Linked DNA regions of Caenorhabditis elegans. The protein of the gene in region 2 interacts with the protein of the main gene of each other region in a biochemical or structural test. Each region holds a gene or a part of one and is shown on either strand. Other genes may lie near its edges.

Region 1 (5,272 bases), on a different chromosome or scaffold from region 2:
TAAACACAAGAAGTTAGTTGTCGTGTTGAGGTTACCAAGTGAAAAATGGCGTCAAAAAACAGAAAGAAAGGCGATTTCCAGAGACAACGAAAGAAAACCATCGAAACAGTGCACTCGGTGTCCTTATTTCTCTAAGTTCTCTACGATTTGTGCTAACTTGCCGCCATGGAAATGATGACAAATACGAGAGAGCGCGCCGATAGAGTAGATCACAAGACGAGGAGAGATGGCTGAAACTGTAGACACGCAGGGTGTACGAGAGAATGCTGGAAAGCGCATGTCCAATGGGAAGACGCAGAGGTAAAAAAATTTTGTGACCGCCGTGTCTATTTGCCTGAACACAGATAGACACAGACTTGTGGAGATCGAAAATCGCAACTTTTTGATCCGAAATCTTGGTGCGCGGTAAATTAACGTGCGCAGAAAATTGACCAATTAAATGAAAAACTAGAAGAGAAGGCTGCTGTGGGGGCCGTAACGAAGTCAACGAAAGCTGATAAGACCAGCATTGTCGCTCGCCGCTTGCACCAAAGACGACGACTACAAAACGACTACACAACGGCAGGTGAATGTTGTAGCGAGAGGGCGAGTGCGACCGAATTGTTGCAGGCAGGTAGTAGACGGTGGGAGGTGAAAAACCGAAGATCTGGAGAATGTGTGTGTGGATGTTGATGCAATTTTTCATAGCACGTTGCCCTTAAATTCTGATGAATCCACACAGAAGTAGTACAGAGCAGGACTGTGCGGAAAAATATTTCGGCAAACGTACAAAAATGAATATAAAAATGTAGGAAAATGCTCGCTCAATCTGAAAATGATATGTATTTTTGTTGGAAAAGTTTGAAAAAGACTTTCAATTGTGCCGTCTTTTAAAAAGTTTTCAAAAAAAATTTTTTTTTCAAACCGAACGAGCATTTTCCTACATTTTAACATTAATTTTTGATTCAAAAAGTTGATATATTTTTCGAAAAAAGTTACAAGTCTAGTACAGAATACTTTGAAAAACGATTGAAACTGAAACTCACGAAACCGAGAGAACAGTTTAAAACAATTATTCAATAAACTTAATGCTTGGTGGTACTGCTGAGAATAAAAAATTTGTTTTGATTTAATTTCTTCTCAACGCCTAATTTCAAAATGCGTGCTGGTTTTCACGTTTCCAAAAATCCAAGTTTTTTTTTGGAAAGGAACCAAAAATTCAAAAATAAAGCATATCAGTTTGAAGTTTGTGCCAAGACTGATAAGAAATATATGAGAGATGCAAAAGATATCACTTGACGAGAAAAAGAAAAGATTTTCGATATTCTAAAAAAGAGAGGTTTGGGTGCACACGGAAATCGGATACATCTACAATTGAGCTACAACTGAATTATTCAAACCACCTGCGTCAGACATGCATGGGAAAATTGAATTATCCACACACCTTCTTCCCTGTTGATATGTGATCAGAATTCTTCGAAATCTTGGCTAAAAATAATTATGATACTAAACCTGCTACAAACCACGTGTTTTTATTTTTATTATTACTACAACAAAAATAAAAACAAGCGCATAATAGTCTGATATTTGGTTGAAAATCTCAATTAATCAGAACATATCCTGTTTATTTCAGGATATTATGATCAAAAATCGCGAAATTTAGAATATAGTAGTTCCGTCGGAACTCAAAGAACTCAATCTTTCTGTTTGAGTGTACTGTGAGTTTGACATCATATTTGGCTGTTTATGAATTCTCGTAGAACGTGATGTTCAGAATTATATTTCTTGACCTCAACCGTGAAAACGAATAGGTTCAGCATGTCAAATACATTGCAATTCAATTAGAATATAGTAGAAGAAAGCTTCTACTCATATTCTGTCAATAAATAATCATACTTTCAATTTTTACAAATCGAAAGCTGTGATCCGAATTTCAACTTATACCAATTCCTTGATCCATTGCGTGCAAAAACCCAACTAACCATGTCAACCGCACCCATTCACAATCAGACCACAGATATGATTCAAGTCATTTTTTCGGTTTTAAACGTCTCATTTCCAGATGATATCATCTTGCACCGAGAGCGTCAATTTAATCAAACGGTTTGATCAAACATTGTACGTGGTGGTGGAAAACCGTTGTTGATAGTCGCTGTCGGCGTAGCAGAAAAAGTTCGAAAAATCAAGAGCCTCGTGGGGTGTCTATCAGGATGGTAATGCTGCTATCAAGCTGGCATATAGGCAATCGGGGGTTTGCGATTTTGGAGCGACTCCGGCAAGATGTTTGTATAATATACATATATGGAGGACAATGTACAGACAGTAATATTTTAGGCTAAGTTTAAGATTGAAGAGATTGGAAAATATCTGAAAATCTGATGATCTGGCGGAAGAAGGATTTCGGAAGGGAACGGTCTTCTTAGCGGCTCTGAAATACAAAGATCACGCTTTCCATTGTTTTCTTGAATTTTTGAAATTCTACTTTTCAGAGGACTTCGACTTCGTCCTCTGGCATTTACGAACATAGTCGTTCCGGCATCATTATTGCAACAGAGAGAGAGAGAGAGAGACAGAATGAGCCGTGAATAGTTTCAGACAACGAGGCAACTGTGACATTCTACATGAGATAGTTGGGATTAACACGTAACAATGCGGGAGACCTAGATAACGAGAGTGATGTGACTGAAGTGATAAGAGGAGAAGGTGGTCTGATATGGAGTTTGGGAAGGAAAAGCTGTTCAAAGTAAATATGTTACGCGGTCTTTGAGAAATGATCTATAACCGGGTGTAAATAAGAAAAAATGTTTGAATTTGAACTTGAAAAATCATATTTTTGAAAACTCGACTCTCAATTGTGGTGTATTTTCCCTATTTTAGTCTACTCGAATTAATAGAAACTTCCAAGAATAATATATAGGTAGATGATGAAAAAGCTTAAAAAAGCTAAAAATAGGCTCCACTCAGATCTTGGTTATTCTTTTAGTTTTTTTTCTTGTTTCTGAAGAAATTAAGTAATCCGTGAAGAGAAAAGCCATGTTTAAGGTTAAAGCTGGAATTTTGAGCCAAAAATCTTGGGAAAAAATCTACAAATCTTAGTTAAAGTTGGATTTAGAACATGAAGAAAACAAAAATTGTAAATGCAAGTAATATTGAATCAGAATTGCAAGAGTTGACTGGAAAAGTGATACGAAAAGTCATGCTCTCCCGTGAAATGATGATATTCTTCAGGTCTTTTTACTTGATAAAACCAACAAAAAAAAAACTAACCGACACTCCATAAATTGACGTCGTCTCTTCTTCGTCGTCGGCTACCGAAGAGAAGCACTGTCTTCGTCTTCGTTTATCGTCTCGTCTCGTCGCCGACGTACTTCGCTGACGGCGTGATGAACCGCCCATCGACTGACTGGATTATGATAGATCCTGTGAGAATGAGTGGAACACTTCTCTCAACAATATTCGGACACGGACTCGCGGCTGAGTGACCAGAGTCCGATCGACGGAGGAGAAACGCGTGAACGACGACACGAGGCCTTCTCTGCAATATTTTGAGTTACAACAATTTTTTTTCTAGAATTCAGAAAACGGGAATTTTCGGAATTACAAGAACTATTCTAGAAAAAACTAGAAACTTCGTTTTTGGGGAATTGTATTGTCTACAAAAACCTACAGTATTTTTTTTCAAATTTAATTAAAGGAGGAATATAGTTTGTGGGAGGTTTTCGCTTAAAAAAAACTAAATCTGGCACAAAAGTGCCGAATTTCATAGTGATATTTATTTAAATAATTTCAAAAACGTTTATGACTGGAAAAATCGAAAAAACATTCAAATTTTCCACACATTTTGGTCGAAAATAAAAAAAAAACGGTGTTTTAGCTTTAAAAAAATCCAGAATTTAGCAAAATTTGGACCTTATTTTTCGATATTTTCAGTTATACATTTTTCGAAAATTTTGAGGCAATATTAGTAAAATCAGATTAAAATAAGTTTAGTGGTAGGAACTTGATTTCACAGTTTCAGAAAATTTTAATAATCATTAAACCAAGTAAAGCAACAAGAAAGAGAAAATAAATTAGGAAAAATTCAAATTTTAGATAACAGAATTGGTTTCAAAACCAATCAACAAAAAATAACAAAATTTCCTCCACAAGACTGCAATAAAAATCTTTACTTTTAATATATTTACATATGGTACAAGTTTGGGGAAAAGGCAGAATTCCAGCAGAAAATTTGAAAAAAAAAACTAGAAATCACAATGAAAATTGAATATTTTTTAAAGAAGCGTCCCTGAGAAATTGAAAAAAAAATTTCTAGCGTTGAAAATGTTATTCTACATTTGATCCCGTGAAATCACTAAATAGGCGATCTGAGAGCATCGCATTGAGCACACGCAGCTTTGAGATCTGTGAGCATTAGAGCCATTGCACGAGTCCATCGAACATCTGTGTTGAGTGTCATAACTGCATTGTATTTGACACCATTGTCAACCAGTGAATCAGCATGAATTTGATATGGTGGTTTGAAATTTTTGTTTCGATCCTGAAAAATGTATAAAAATTAGGGTGTTTCTGAAACCAAAAAATTATAAAATCGATCTTTATACCGGAAAATGAATATTGTAAATCCATTCTTAACGAGATGTGAAATTTTACAGTTTTGCTCCAAAAATACTTTAAAAAACCCGATTTACTCAAACTCATAAGGGATCGTGCGCCTTTAAGGCCTACGGTATTTCCCAACTCCTCAAGTGTTCACCCAATTATTTAAATAAAATTTATTAAAAAACATGTAAAAACACGCCAAATTTCGTAGAAACGGGCGGAAAACTAGGAAAAATCACTCTTTTTCACTAGTTTCTTTCAGATTTGGGTTGGTTTTATACCTTTTTAACGTAAATCGGTTGAAAAATGGGAGTTGGGAACTACAGTAGGCCTTAAAGGTGCACGATTTTTTTGAAGTTCAGAAAATCTGTCTATTTTTGTATTTTTGAAGCAGAAATCGCATAAACTTTTGCAAATGGGTAATACGAAAATAAATTCACAATACTTATTTTTGATGGATATGTCTTTTTTATTCTGTACAGAGATCGATTTCAAGAAAACTCCCAATTTTTTAACCAACTCCGAACGGCAACATATTTTCCCACAAACCTTGAGCTCTTTCAACAAAAACTCGAGCAACTGCAAGAATCGACGAATTCCAGGATCAATTCCAGATGATCCTGATAGTGGAGTTCCTTGTCCATACAATGCGTACGTTTCCATGTCGATGCCATTACGACGAAGCTTAATGTAC
Region 2 (5,058 bases):
AGCCTGAAAATCGATGATTTTCTGACTTTTTCCCGAAAATTATTCGATTTTTCTTGATTTTCGCCGGCTTCTACCTCATCATCGAGTTCATCTTCGGGATCAACCTTCGAATTTTCATAAGGCGATTTTGTGCCCACTAGCTTCGTCCATTCCACCTTCCGAGCCAATTTTCCAACATGATCAGTGAACGTCTCGGGCTGCAGGTACCTCTCCACACCGTCAAATCCGATTTCCTGGATTTTCCAGTCATCATTGGATTCCAGCACGAGATCCACTCCTAGTCGTTTTGTGAGATTCACAATGTCTTCGGATTCCGGCTCGATAGGCTCCACCACTTCATCGCCGTCTTCCATTTTTTTTGTGCTAAACTTTTTTAAAAATAATTTTTCGGTTTTTCTTTTGGCGCTGCTCACTATTGATTGAATATTAAAAATATATCTAAAGGCTGCGTAACCTATAAATTATAAAATCGCTTAAAAATTGCAAAAAACTTGAATTTTGGCAGATTTTTTTTTATGGAAAAAGGTCAACAAATGGAGTACCGAGCAGAGTGAGCGTGCGCGCGGATAGAGGAGGTGCGCGACAACAACCCGCATCGAGGTATATACAATCGAGTATCTGCGGAAATCGGGAGGTTTCGGGGGGAACAACGGGGGATCAACAAAGTGTAAAAATTGGGGGCAAAAAAGTGTGAGAAAAAAGACGAAAAAAAAAACAGCAAAAATTAGTGCATGGTGTAGGTGTTCTGCTCGTTGAGATCACACACTTCTCCCTTGAAATCGAACGAAATGTTGATATCCAAGTCACGTTCGTTGTTCTTGTTTGGTGCCATCTCGAATGATCCGGTTATTTCCTCGCCTTTCTTTACTGTGAGCGCGTCCTGAAAAAATCGAAAAATTGAAAAAAAAAATAAAATTTGAATCGAAAGTGTCGAATTTGAAGTCAAAGATGATGTGAAAATTGCAATTTTTTTTCTTTTTTATTAAAACAAAACTGGGTTTTTCTAGCTAACGAAAATTAGTGAAAAATACAACTTTTTGCCTAAAAACCCCGGTTTCAGTCAGAAAATCCGGTTTTTACTCGAAAAATCGATAGAAAAGTGCAAAATTCGTGCAAAAATCTTTAAAAAAACACAAATTTAATACTTAAGACTACTACAAACTACTAGTTTTGGGCGCTGCTAAACTACAAAATTACAAGATTTGGGCGCTGCTAAACTACAAACTACAAGCTTTTGGGCGCTGCTAATTCGCTTTTGGGAGCTGCTAAACTACAAACTACTAGTTTTGGGCGCTGCTAAGCTACAAACTACGATTTTGGGCGCTGCTAGACTACAAACTACAAGATTTGGGCGCTGCTAATTTAATTTTGGGCGCTGCTAAGCTACAAACTACGATTGTGGGCGCTGCTAGACTACAAACTACGAGTTTTGGGCGCTTCTAAGCTACAAACTACAAGATTTGGGCGCTGCTAAACTACAAACTACGAGTTTTGCGCGCTGCTAAGCTACAAACTACGAGCTTTGGGCGCTGCTAAGCTACAAACTACAAGATTTGGGCGCTGCTAAGCTACAAACTACGATTGTGGGCGCTGCTAGACTACAAACTACGAGTTTTGGGCGCTGCTAAGCTACAAACTACAAGATTTGGGCGCTGCTAAACTACAAACTACGAGTTTTGGGCGCCGCTAAGCTACAAACTACGAGTTTTGGGGGCTGCTAATTCATGTTTTCTTAATTTTTTGGCGAATTTTGTTTCAAAAACTGTGAAAAGGTCGATTTTCAGCCCAAAAATCGAAGTTTTTACCATTTACTGACTAAATTTGGTGAAAAACTGTTGAAAAATGGTATTTAACCCGAAAAAAAGTTATTTTTAAGCGCATACTTTAAGATAAAAGACGGTCTGCTTCCAATGAGTGTACTGTACATCTGGCCCAGTCGAGAATCCGGTTTTCTTGTGGCACTTGGAGAACTCGACGGTGAAGAAGGTGACGAAAGCTTGAATATAGTCGCTGCGAGTGCATCTCAGCTTAAAGTCCGATTTGAACGTGAGATCCTCGATTTTAACGGTGTACAAATCAACGTCCTTCAGCAGACAATTGTTGGTGTTGACCTGAGCGTTGTCGACGATATCGACGAGTGGCTCCTTGATCGCGACGTTCTTGATAGCGGACATGTTGAATCCGTAGACTGAATCCCACCAGTGGATCTTGTCCTCCTTGTACTGACGATCCTCGATAGCACAGACGTAGAGACGAGCCTTGTCCGGGAACAACATTCCATTCGGAGCCAACCATCTATCGCGGGCGACGAGCACAGTGTTGAGCATCGACTCGTAGAACAAGCAGTATCCCATCCACTCGGAAATGATGATATCGACCTTCTCAATGCCTCCTGGCAACTCGTGAACGTCCTCTACCTTCGCCTGAATCACCTCGACGATGTGGTCCAGGTTGTTGTCGGCGATTATTTTGCGGGAGGTGAGCGCCATGTTGGAGAATTCCATCTGAAGGAAAAGGAAATTTTTAAAAACCGTTCAAAAAATCCAAAAAAAACTCACCGCGAAAACCTTCTTCGCTCCAGCCTTGGCGGCGAACATGGAAAGAATTCCAGTTCCCGAGCCAACATCCATCACAACTTTGTCTTTGAACAAGTGCGAGTTATGATAGATCGAGTTCCGGTAGGTGGTGGTTCGCACCTCGTCCTTGAGCATCTCCTCGTGGATACCGAAGTGAGCGTACGAGTCGAAGTAGTAGTCCTTGCTGGTCAACTCTTTTGCAGCCGGTGCCGCCACCGGCGCATCTGCGGACTTCCCGTTTTCGGTACTCATTGTCCCGCTGGAAAAAGGTTAATTATTAAATTAATTAATGTGAGATCCACATGCTCTGAAATCCACTTTTAGGGCCAAAATTCATGTATTTTCTTGTTCGAAAAGCTTTTTAATCAAAAAATAATTAATTTTCAGCAAAAAAAACCAAAAAATCAATTGAAAATCAACTGAAAATCATGAAATTCGAGTGAAAAAGACGAAAAAAAAAGGAAAACTCATTTCAAATCAACACCTAAAAATGCGGGCGTTGCGAGACCCAACACACACGAAACCGCATGCGCCTTTAAATTTGTGTCGATTTACGCAGTGGCTGACGTGTATTTTTCCATCGAAATTTTCTTCTTTTTTTGGGAGATTTCTGAATTTAAAATTGAATTTTAAGTTAAAATTTTAATTTTTCAGATAAAAAATCATGTCAGACGACTTGCCAATCGATATTCACAGCAGTAAATTGCTTGGTAACTCGTTATCCATTAATTTTAACCCAAAAAACACCGCAAAAACTTTAGATTGGCTGGTTTCCCGTCGTCATTGCAACAAAGATTGGCAAAAAAGCGTGGTGGCGATTCGAGAAAAGATCAAACATGCCATTTTGGACATGCCGGAGTCGCCGAAAATCGTGGAGCTGCTGCAAGGAGCGTGTTAGTTGGTTTTTTGCCCAAAAAAGACCAAAAAATTGTTAAAAAACTACAAAAAGGCTCGACTACCAAGTTTTTTTTGCAAAAAATCTGATTAAAAAAAATAGTTTTTCACCAAAAACAGTCAGAAAAACGAATAAAATCTCTCTTGTCCGCAGGAGGCTTAGGCTCACCCTTGAACCAAACGGACAACCTTTACCTTTACTTTTTAAATTTACGGAAAAATGCAAAAAATTCAATAACAGTCCCATTAACAGCTCGAAATCCGGATTAGCAGCGCCCAAATCTTGTAGTTTGTAGTTTTAGCAGCGCCCAAAATTGAATTAGCAGCGCCCAAATCTTGTAGTTTGTAGTTTTAGCAGCGCCCAAAATTGAATTAGCAGCGCCCAAAACTTGTAGTTTGTAGTCTTAGCAGCGCCCAAAATTGAATTAGCAGCGCCCAAATCTTGTAGTTTGTAGTTTTAGCAGCGCCCAAAATTGAATTAGCAGCGCCCAAAACTTGTAGTTTGTAATGTTAGCAGCGCCAAACCATTTTTTTGAGAAAAATCCAATTAAATTACAGTTTTTAGTCGTTTTTCGCCAAATTTAGCGAGAAAAATCATTAAAATAGAAAAAATAATAAATTTTTCTGTCAAAAAAGCCGTAATTATTCAATTTTTAATCTAAAAATTGCCAAAAATTCAGTTTTTCACCCAAAAAAGTCAGAAAAACATATAAAATTGTGATTTTTGCGGTGAAAACCGACTATAATTTAGTTTTCGTGCCGAAATTTACGAAAAAAATGCAGAAATTTCGATAAAATTCCCATTAACAGCTCGAAATCTGGATTAGCAGCGCCCAAAACTTGTAGTTTATAGTGTTAGCAGCGCCCAAAATTGAATTAGCAGCGCCAAACTTTTTTTCTGCAAAAACCTGATAAAATAACATTTTTTTGAATTATTTTTCGCCAAATTTAGTTAGGAAAATGCATTACAATGCTATTTTTGCCGTAAAAATCTTCAAAAAATCGATTTTTATTCAATTTTTAATTTAAAAATTGCCAAAAATTCAGTTTTGCACCAAAAACAGTCAGAAAAACATATAAAATTGTGATTTTTGCGGCGAAAACCGACTATAATTTAGTTTTCGTGCCGAAATTTACGAAAAAAATGCAGAAATTTCGATAAAATTCCCATTAACAGCTCGAAATCCGGATTAGCAGCGCCCAAAACTTGTAGTTTGTAGTGTTAGCAGCGCCCAAAATTGAATTAGCAGCGCCCAAAACTTGTAGTTTGTAGTGTTAGCAGCGCCCCAAATTGAATTAGCAGCGCCAAACTTTTTTTCTGCAAAAACCTGATAAAATAACATTTTTTAAAATTATTTTTCGCCAAATTTAGTTAGAAAAATGCATTACAATGCTATTTTTGCCGTAAAAATCTTCAAAAAATCGATTTTTATTCAATTTATTTTTTTTTGACCTGAAAATTGCCAAAAATTCAGTTTTTAAGCTAAAAACTCGATTTTTTTTCCAGATATCAACTATTTCCACTGCTGCCAAATCATCGAAATCCTGCGCGACACGGAAAAAGACACGAAAAACTTTCTGGGCTTCT
Region 3 (4,066 bases), on a different chromosome or scaffold from region 2:
TACAAAAATGTTCTAACTTTTTAAAATGGATTTTCCTATTTTCCAAAAAAAAAAGACTAATTATTTATTAATTCCCTCTCGAAATTCAATGGTTTTATTGATTTTCTCTTTAAAATTTTGATTTCTTCCGGGTTATCGAGTTTTCGTTTTTGCATTAGTTTTTTTGCAAAATTGAAAAATTCATTAAAAATAATTTTACAGTTATATTCGATCATTTTCTATAACTTAAAGCAAAATCCTTAATCGGTCCTCACAGCACATTTAAAATGTGATTCTACAGGTTCGAAGATACGGCACAACCCAAAGTCAATCTTCACCAGTTACACCATGTTCATATACAATTTACCAAGTTCAAACCGATGATACACTTGAAAGAATAGCATTAAAGCATAATTGTTCGGTTGGTTCCATTTGTTTCTCCTTATCTGTTGTTCATGTACGATTTCAGGTTTCATCTCTCGTTCGTGCAAACAAGCTTTGGTCTCCCAGCGCCTTGTTCATGAAGCAATTCATTAGAATACCCATTTTCAATTCACAACAACCTAATCTCAAACCATCTTTGCAAGAAACTCAATGCAAAATTGTGCCTGCCACTACTGAACGGGTCGACAGTAGCCGAGAAGAAAAATCTATGAAAGATATTTTACAGCGCATAGATCGGAACATCAAATCGTTTCGGAAATGTGATAACCCTAGCAGCTCAGCTTATGATCATATTTAAATTATTTTTGAAATAAATCTGTTGTCAAAGTAAATCGTTCTGGAAATTTAAACAATGCGTTCAACAAATTAAATCGGTTATTAACAAAAAAGTTTATCAACAACAGAATACTTATTTCTTCACGTTGGCCTTTGAAGCCTTGCGGAGGATAGAAGCATATGGGTTCAACTTGTACAAGAGGGTTCTCTTCTTGAGTGGGTTGCGGTGGACCTTTGGAAGCACTGGGTTCTTCTTTGGAGCTCTGATAGCCTTAACGACCTCTTCGGAACGGATGATGCGGGAGAAGTCGGAGTTGGCCATGATTGGGAGTGGGACAGACCATCCCTTCTTGAGTTGAGAAGAGTTGGCAACGGTGGTTCCGTAGATGGTATCAAGCTTCTTGAAGGCAGACTCGGTCCAGATGATAAGACGTCCGAGATGTCCTCCTGGGGCGAGCTTGAGAAGGTTGAGTCTCTCAACATTCATGACATCGACTCCTGGGATGTTGCGGAAGGCACGAGCGCACTCAGCATCTTGTCCGTAGATAACAACTGGTCCGAGCTTCTGCTTGTGTTGACGGTTGCGGAGCTTTCCCTTTCCGGCGCGGTTTCTCTTCGAGTTGTAAACCTTAAAACTGTTACGTTAAAAACAAATTTAATTTTTTTAAATGGTATACCTTCTCGATATCAGCCCACAAGTGGGAGCGACGGAGGAAGACGACGGCCTCCTTGGTCTTGCGGAAGCTTTCGACCTTGTCGGAAACAACAAGTGGGACCTCAGCGACCTAAAAAATAGTACTGTAAATAGGAACAAAACTTTTAAAAAAGTTTACTTACTTGATCGATGACGTGTCCACGAGCTTGGAGAAGAGCTGGGATTCCGGAGGCAGCAATAGCTGAGGAAACAGCGTATCTCTTCTGGGCAATGTTGACGTTGCGGTGCCAGCGGCGGAACACCTTGAGTGGGGCGAACATGTGTCCTCCACGGCACATATTTCCGAAAGCTCCCTGTCCGGAACGGTGGGTACCTCCTCCGCGAACACGTGGAATACGGGCAACGGCACGTCCAGTTCCCCAGGACTCAGCAGAGTGTTGCTTTCCTGAAATAAATAGTAATTGAGGAACACAGAAGTTAGTTTGAAATTAAAATAATCAATAACCGAATCTAATTATGTCACTTACCGGCCTTGGTGTTAACGGCATGGGCCTGTCTTCTGTTTCTGCGGACCTGATCGGCGATGAAGCTCACCAAGTCTGGGCGGATTGGAGTACGGAAAACGGCTGGGAGCCGGATTTGAGATTGAGTGGCCTCGTACTTTTCATCGTACACAGTCACGAGCGGTCTGGCCGCCATTATTACCTGCAATCAACAGAAATAGTAAAAAATAGATTAATTTTAAAAGAAAATGATTCAAAAAATGCGAGAAGAGTAAAGAAAAAATGATGATATTTTAGGCAATATTCAGATTTTTCGACCGAAACAGGCTTAGGATATTCAAAACCTTATTTTAATACATTCCAAATGTGAAAATATCACCGAAAATCTTTTTTATATTGAAAAAACGAAAAAAGTTCCTAAAAAATTTCAGAAAACAGGGAAATCGTGTTTAAAGGGAGGCAAAAATTAGGGTATTGGCTGAGTATCCAACGTCGGGGTCTCGCCGCGATGAGACGAAATGTCGGCAGGCAACTTGTGTCAATTTACGAGGGCGCGGTATCCGCTGATTTCAAACCCGATCCTTCCATTTTCTTGCTTAAAAACGTTTTCAAATAGTTTAATTGTGTTTTTACTTGTTTCAATACATAAGTGTTTGGGATAGATGCTGTCTTCTACATCAACATTCTTTCCTCTCGTGAAAATCGACTACAAGCGAATGGAATTATTGCGGAAAGCGGCACAGATGAAAAATTTCCGTGTAAATGAGGATACGCTGAGAAAATTGAACGACGTTGAAACAGTTGGTATGTGTTTTACAATAATATGTTTTGTTAAATAATTGAGTTTTCAGGTGAGATAATTTCCACAACACCGTCGACATCGTCAGTTGAATCATCAGGATTTCGAAGAAATGCGAAAAGAAAAATGGACGATGATTCGAACACCAGTATGTTTTCAGAAGAACAATGCTCTCATTGTGGATGCCGAATGCTTCGAGTTGTTGATCCAGGACGTCCCGATCGTATGATGGTTCTGGAGTGTATGCGCTCAAATTGTCTGGCATCTGTGAAACTTACTGATCTTCCAGTTGGGACGGTCATTGGAAAGGAAATTAGTTTGGTAAGTTGATAATTTATTTTGAAATTAAAAACAATCATTTTATTTTCAGACTCCGAAATCCGCCTACAACACTCTAGCTCGCTACTATCCCAAAAACCGTTACACTCCGGAATTGGATTCATTCGATCAGGAACAACATGGAAAGCGTAAAGCGAATGTCAAGATTTTTGAGTCATCTGCAAGAGGAATATTCATTGATGTTCCAGGACAAGACACCAAAGCTCGCTTTGTGGCATAATTTTAATATTAATCGTTAAATTACTAGTAATATGCCGGGTTGATCACAAAACCAAAAAGCCAACGCTGTATTAATTTTCACTTCCGATTTACTGAACGATCTGAATTGTCTGATAAATATCAAGTTTATAAAAGTAACATAAAACGATATTTCTTCAAACATTTATTTTTCCCGAATTTAATACAGTGCAAAAAAAATTAAATATGACTAGTTGATCAGAGGGGAGTGTGTCACAACCTTCGAATGCCTATAAAGCGACCAGTAGAACAAGAGAAAATAGAGATTCTGAGAGAGTTTAAACAATGTTTCTAAGAGAGATGCTACTCGTCCGATAGACTATCCATAAGATGTTCATTGTCCGGCGATAATGATTCCACTTTTCGTACTCGTTTTGAAAGCCCTTTTCGTATTGAAGTTGACGGATTTTGTGCATATGCAGCGCCAACGAATGCCACGAGGATCGGAATCGATGCAATAACTTGTGCCAGTGTTGGAGCTTTGCTTCGAATCACTGTATCGGCGAGGAATGACAGAGGAATGCTTACAGTCATTGATAGGCAGGTGGTGAGAGAATCACACATTCCAGCGGCAAGAAGCCAAAGGTAATCAGCGACAATTGTTCCTGAAATTAAAAAAAAAATTAATATTAAAAATACTCATTAATACAATAAATCTCACCAATGAGCGCAGAAAATAAAATTGACGAGAACTGTGTAGCATTTGGAAGTGGATGTAATGGTTCTACACCAAATCTATCCAACAAATTTAATGTAGGTGTTCCAAGAACCAAAGCGATGACTCCGATTGCTCCAAACATCAAATTAATATCCAGTTTTCCATATTTTTCCTCA
Region 4 (3,780 bases), on a different chromosome or scaffold from region 2:
ACGAGCTAATTCAAATGCTTCTGAACTCTTAAATAACTTTTTTTATATATTTATACAAGAATCTCGAATAATCACCTCCATATCTACATTGGCATGACGAAATGAGGCACTACGAAATTCAGATTCCAAGCGTGACAAAACTTTCTCAATTCGATGCTTTGAAATTTTCGAAACGTCTATATTTTCCGACTTTTTTATAATTCCATCGATTCGATACACATTTGTCCATGACTTTGACATGAGTTCTGGAATACTTTCACAACCATCATTGACACCGAACACTGAAAATATCAATTTGTTTTGAAAATTATTAATTCTACCTTACAGCAGACTCCAGAACTATTTGTGGCCAACGGTAGTACGTCTACCAATTGAATGTCCTCTTGTCTGATTGATCTGCCAGACACAAGTGGATGATATCTGAAAATAACAGAACATTCTTCTCGTTTTTATGCAGATCTTGTGAATAACCAAATTTTTGGCTAAAATATGTTAAATTTTCCAAAATCAAGTTATTGCTCTAACTTTGATATATTTTAAATTACGACTACCTGTAATCAGCCACTTCATTCCGGCCGACGACTACTAGAGCGCCTGACTTTTCATGAGCTTCGATGACTGGGATGGAGATCAGAGGAAGTTGAATTCGAGAAGTAGATTCAATATCAGAGACAGATTCGGCGATCTTACGAGTAATCAGCTTGATCAACCCAGCGGAGGAAATTCCCGAGTGCTTATAAACACAGAGAACACCGGACAAAGACTTCCAAATATCAAGATGACCCATATCCAAAAATGCAAACTTTAAGACTAGTCTCATATCTCAAAGCGATAGGTTTGCTAAAACAATTTCCCTTTTGAAGATTAAGTCGTTTTTTAGATTAACAATTTTATTTTTCAACAAAAACAACAGTTTAGTGCTTCTGGGCCATACGCTTGTCACGCTCTTCGGCGATTGAGAGACGGATTCCAGCTCCAGTTGGGAGGGAGACGAGAGCCTTGTTTCCCTTTCCAATGACGAAGACGTTGGAGATACTGAAAAGAAAAATTTGAATTAGCAACCAACCTTAGCCGGACTTTTACGACCCTCGCGGCCCCCGACCTTCATTCTCCTTTAGCCTTTTAGGCAAACTTACCGAGTGGCGAAGGAGTGTCCAGCAGAATCCTTGATGTGGATGATGTCAGATGCTCCTGGGAGACGCTCACGATGTCCGATAATTCCGACACGACCAACGTTACGTCCTCCAGTGACGTAGGCCAAATTTCCTGGCTCGAACTTGACGGAGTCGGTGATCTTCTGGGTGCTGATGTTGAAAACAATGGTGTCGTTAACCTTGACATGTGGGTCTGGGTAGCGGATGGTGCGTCCGTCAGTGGTGGTGAGGACTGGAACTCCCTTGTTGACGGTGCGGACAGACTTGACCTTGCAGAGCTTGAAGTCGGCCTCGGCAGCTTGGATTCTGTGGACGACGTATCTTCCCTTGGTATCGTAGAGCATACGGAAATACTCGTTGGTACGCTCGATGGCAACGACATCTGAAAACGCGAATACAAAACTAGAAAGAATACAAATTATAATTACCCATGAATCCGGTTGGGAACTTGTGGCAGGTTCTGACCTTTCCGTCGACGCGGACAACTCTCTGGGTGAGAATCTTCTTGGCCTCGGTGTAGTTGAGAGCGTACTTCAGACGGTTACGGAGGAACAAGCTGAGTGGAAGGGACTCGCGGAGCTTGTGTGGTCCTGGGTTTGGACGAACAGCGAAGACTCCTCCGAGTTTGTCGAGCATCCAATGGCTTGGAGCAGCGAGACGCTTAAGATGCTTCTTTGGTCCTCTCATTTTTCAAGTGTGTACCTCAAGCTGGAATTTTGAACTTTAAAATGAGAAATCACGAAAATGTAATGATAAAAATAGTGAGAGTAAGCATAAAATGGAACAGATTAACTACATAGCACAACTATCGCTCAAAAATGATATTTAACATCGTTATTTCATTAAAATATGAAAAAATTAAAAAATTTTGCGTTGAGAACAGGAGAAATAGGAAAAATCTCTCTAAAAATTTCCTTGCGTCTGGCCTAAAATCAATTTCGCTGCGAGACCTGGCAGCTGTACAACTGGCTGTCCCTTGGACGCAAGAAAGCGTGCCCTGTCGCACTCTCTGTCGTGAACTCCTCTCCAACGAACAATTTTATTTATGCTGCGACACGATTTCGATGAATTTTGTTTCGTTATCAGTACATTCAATGAAAAATTTTAATAAATTAAACTATAAAAAATTATTTTTAATATGCTGAAAATGTTATTTCTATTTTTCTTGATCCTATCGAAGAAGTTCGTGTATATTCAGATTTTGTGTTCCATTTTCGTAGTTTAAGACCAAAATCAAGAAATTTTTTAGTGGTTTAAATGTTTTTATTCACAAAAAATCGATATTGTTCAATATTTCAAGGAGAAACAAAGGCGACTAAAAAAAAGAAATTGAAAAATAAAAATTACATTCTACACAAATTCGATAATTTTTCTTTTGAAAAACATTAAACGACCATTTACTGATAAAACTACTGGAAAGAAAAAATTGGAAATATGGGGAGTTTTTAAGAATAATTCCAGCGAAAGGCAGTTTCAGTAGACAGTAAATGAGTAGAAAAGACGTATTTTTGTTGCAAAAGGCACTTTTTCGAGGGATTCATGGGGAAAGGAGAGTGGAAGATTTGGAGCAATTTCAAACTGAAAAGTAACATTATTAAGAATGAAAAAAAATTATTATGCAAAAAATTTAAATGACTAGCAAAGCAGTAGAAAAATACATAAAATATGCAAAACATTGATTGAGAAGAAAGAGAATCGGTAATGAACGGGGATTTAGAAGTTGGACCACATTGGCTTTCGGAGCCAACGGAGACGAAGTCCCGAGTTGGTACGGATTTTAATAGAGGCGGCTTCAGCAGCACGGACAACATCCTTCACAGATTGCATCAAGTTTTGAGCATTATGCACCAATTGTTGCATTGCTTCATCATCTTCTTCGCTGCCTGAAATTCAAGAAAATTATTTTAAAGAGTAGAAAAACGGAAATATTAGGAGAATCAAGGGAATCGGAAGGTTAAGGCACTCGATGTTTTATGTTGTCGTTCAATTTTCAAATTCACGCGAGAATTGTTAAGTTGTATTAAAATGGGACAAAAACTTCAAATTCAATCACACAATTAGTTTCCGAAACTCTTGAAAATCAATTATTTACCCTCGACTGGTTGACCGTATGGGCCGATGACATCTGAAATGGGTTCTGATAATTTAAATCAAATTTGAAAATAATTAAAATAATTTCAACAACGAAAAAATAAATTTCCAACTCACTGGCTGATCCGAGCATTGTCGCCTTGACTGTTGACAAGACCTTCAATTGTGTAGCTATCGTTGGAATTCTTTCTGAGACTTGAAGGAGTGCCTGAAAATGAAAATAAATTTTAAATCTTTAGATAGAATGAACTAAATGCTCACCGTTCTCATCTTGATATCTGTGCAAAGTCTGGCAAGTTGAACTGCCAATCTGGTAACTTCTTCAGAAGAATCTGCGATTGCCTTGGAGCAATTGATGAGATCCTTTAAATTTAACATTAAGATCACTATCTTCTTCTCTACAAAACTTACTTTCTTAGTTCCACCTTCACCTCTAACCAACTGTGATAGTCTAGCCATCAGAATGGCCATTCTCTTCGCAGCCGCCACAATATCGTTCTCCTGTGAACTCCATTGTTTCAGTTCGTTGTGCAAA

Evidence for each region.
Region 1: of the proteins of prmt-1 (region 2) and skn-1, one has a biochemical effect on the other in vitro, tested with the Caenorhabditis elegans proteins (one study listed by BioGRID).
Region 3: of the proteins of prmt-1 (region 2) and rpl-4, one has a biochemical effect on the other in vitro, tested with the Caenorhabditis elegans proteins (one study listed by BioGRID).
Region 4: of the proteins of prmt-1 (region 2) and rps-4, one has a biochemical effect on the other in vitro, tested with the Caenorhabditis elegans proteins (one study listed by BioGRID).

The regions. Positions count from the first base shown.
Region 1 is NC_003282.8:5,657,010-5,662,281, forward strand, and holds the start of skn-1 (Protein skinhead-1), read right to left. Parts: upstream 3,376-5,272; coding exon 3,247-3,375; intron 557-3,246; exon of another isoform or gene 407-556; intron 362-406; exon of another isoform or gene 309-361; intron 1-308. Other genes in the region: bec-1 (Beclin homolog), read right to left, coding at 4,331-4,516, 5,128-5,272. UniProt on the Caenorhabditis elegans protein: Transcription factor. Required to specify the fate of ventral blastomeres in the early embryo, and postembryonically for the development of the intestine. Directly regulates expression of zygotically expressed med-1 and med-2 to direct mesendoderm development.
Region 2 is NC_003283.11:20,266,877-20,271,934, forward strand, and holds prmt-1 (Protein arginine N-methyltransferase 1), read right to left. Parts: upstream 2,836-5,058; 5' UTR 2,829-2,835; coding exon 2,559-2,828; intron 2,505-2,558; coding exon 1,884-2,504; intron 881-1,883; coding exon 725-880; 3' UTR 501-724; downstream 1-500. Other genes in the region: mdt-17 (Mediator of RNA polymerase II transcription subunit 17), read right to left, coding at 75-353; cdkr-3 (CDK5RAP3 protein homolog), read left to right, coding at 3,241-3,286, 3,338-3,469, 4,978-5,058. UniProt on the Caenorhabditis elegans protein: Arginine methyltransferase that methylates (mono and asymmetric dimethylation) the guanidino nitrogens of arginyl residues present in target proteins.
Region 3 is NC_003279.8:4,644,905-4,648,970, forward strand, and holds rpl-4 (Large ribosomal subunit protein uL4), read right to left. Parts: upstream 2,060-4,066; 5' UTR 2,054-2,059; coding exon 1,882-2,053; intron 1,876-1,881; exon of another isoform or gene 1,822-1,875; intron 1,800-1,821; coding exon 1,537-1,799; intron 1,485-1,536; coding exon 1,377-1,484; intron 1,328-1,376; coding exon 833-1,327; 3' UTR 758-832; downstream 1-757. Other genes in the region: lmd-2 (LysM domain-containing protein), read left to right, coding at 281-400, 449-721; B0041.8 (Plus3 domain-containing protein), read left to right, coding at 2,520-2,661, 2,709-2,977, 3,027-3,215; B0041.5 (Solute carrier family 35 member F5), read right to left, coding at 3,536-3,837, 3,894-4,066.
Region 4 is NC_003282.8:7,082,821-7,086,600, forward strand, and holds rps-4 (Small ribosomal subunit protein eS4), read right to left. Parts: upstream 1,863-3,780; 5' UTR 1,842-1,862; coding exon 1,583-1,841; intron 1,537-1,582; coding exon 1,137-1,536; intron 1,111-1,136; exon of another isoform or gene 1,052-1,110; intron 1,036-1,051; coding exon 915-1,035; 3' UTR 876-914; downstream 1-875. Other genes in the region: Y43B11AR.3 (TruB_N domain-containing protein), read right to left, coding at 1-27, 76-281, 326-420, 552-787; deb-1 (Vinculin), read right to left, coding at 2,868-3,037, 3,247-3,279, 3,363-3,453, 3,507-3,608, 3,657-3,780.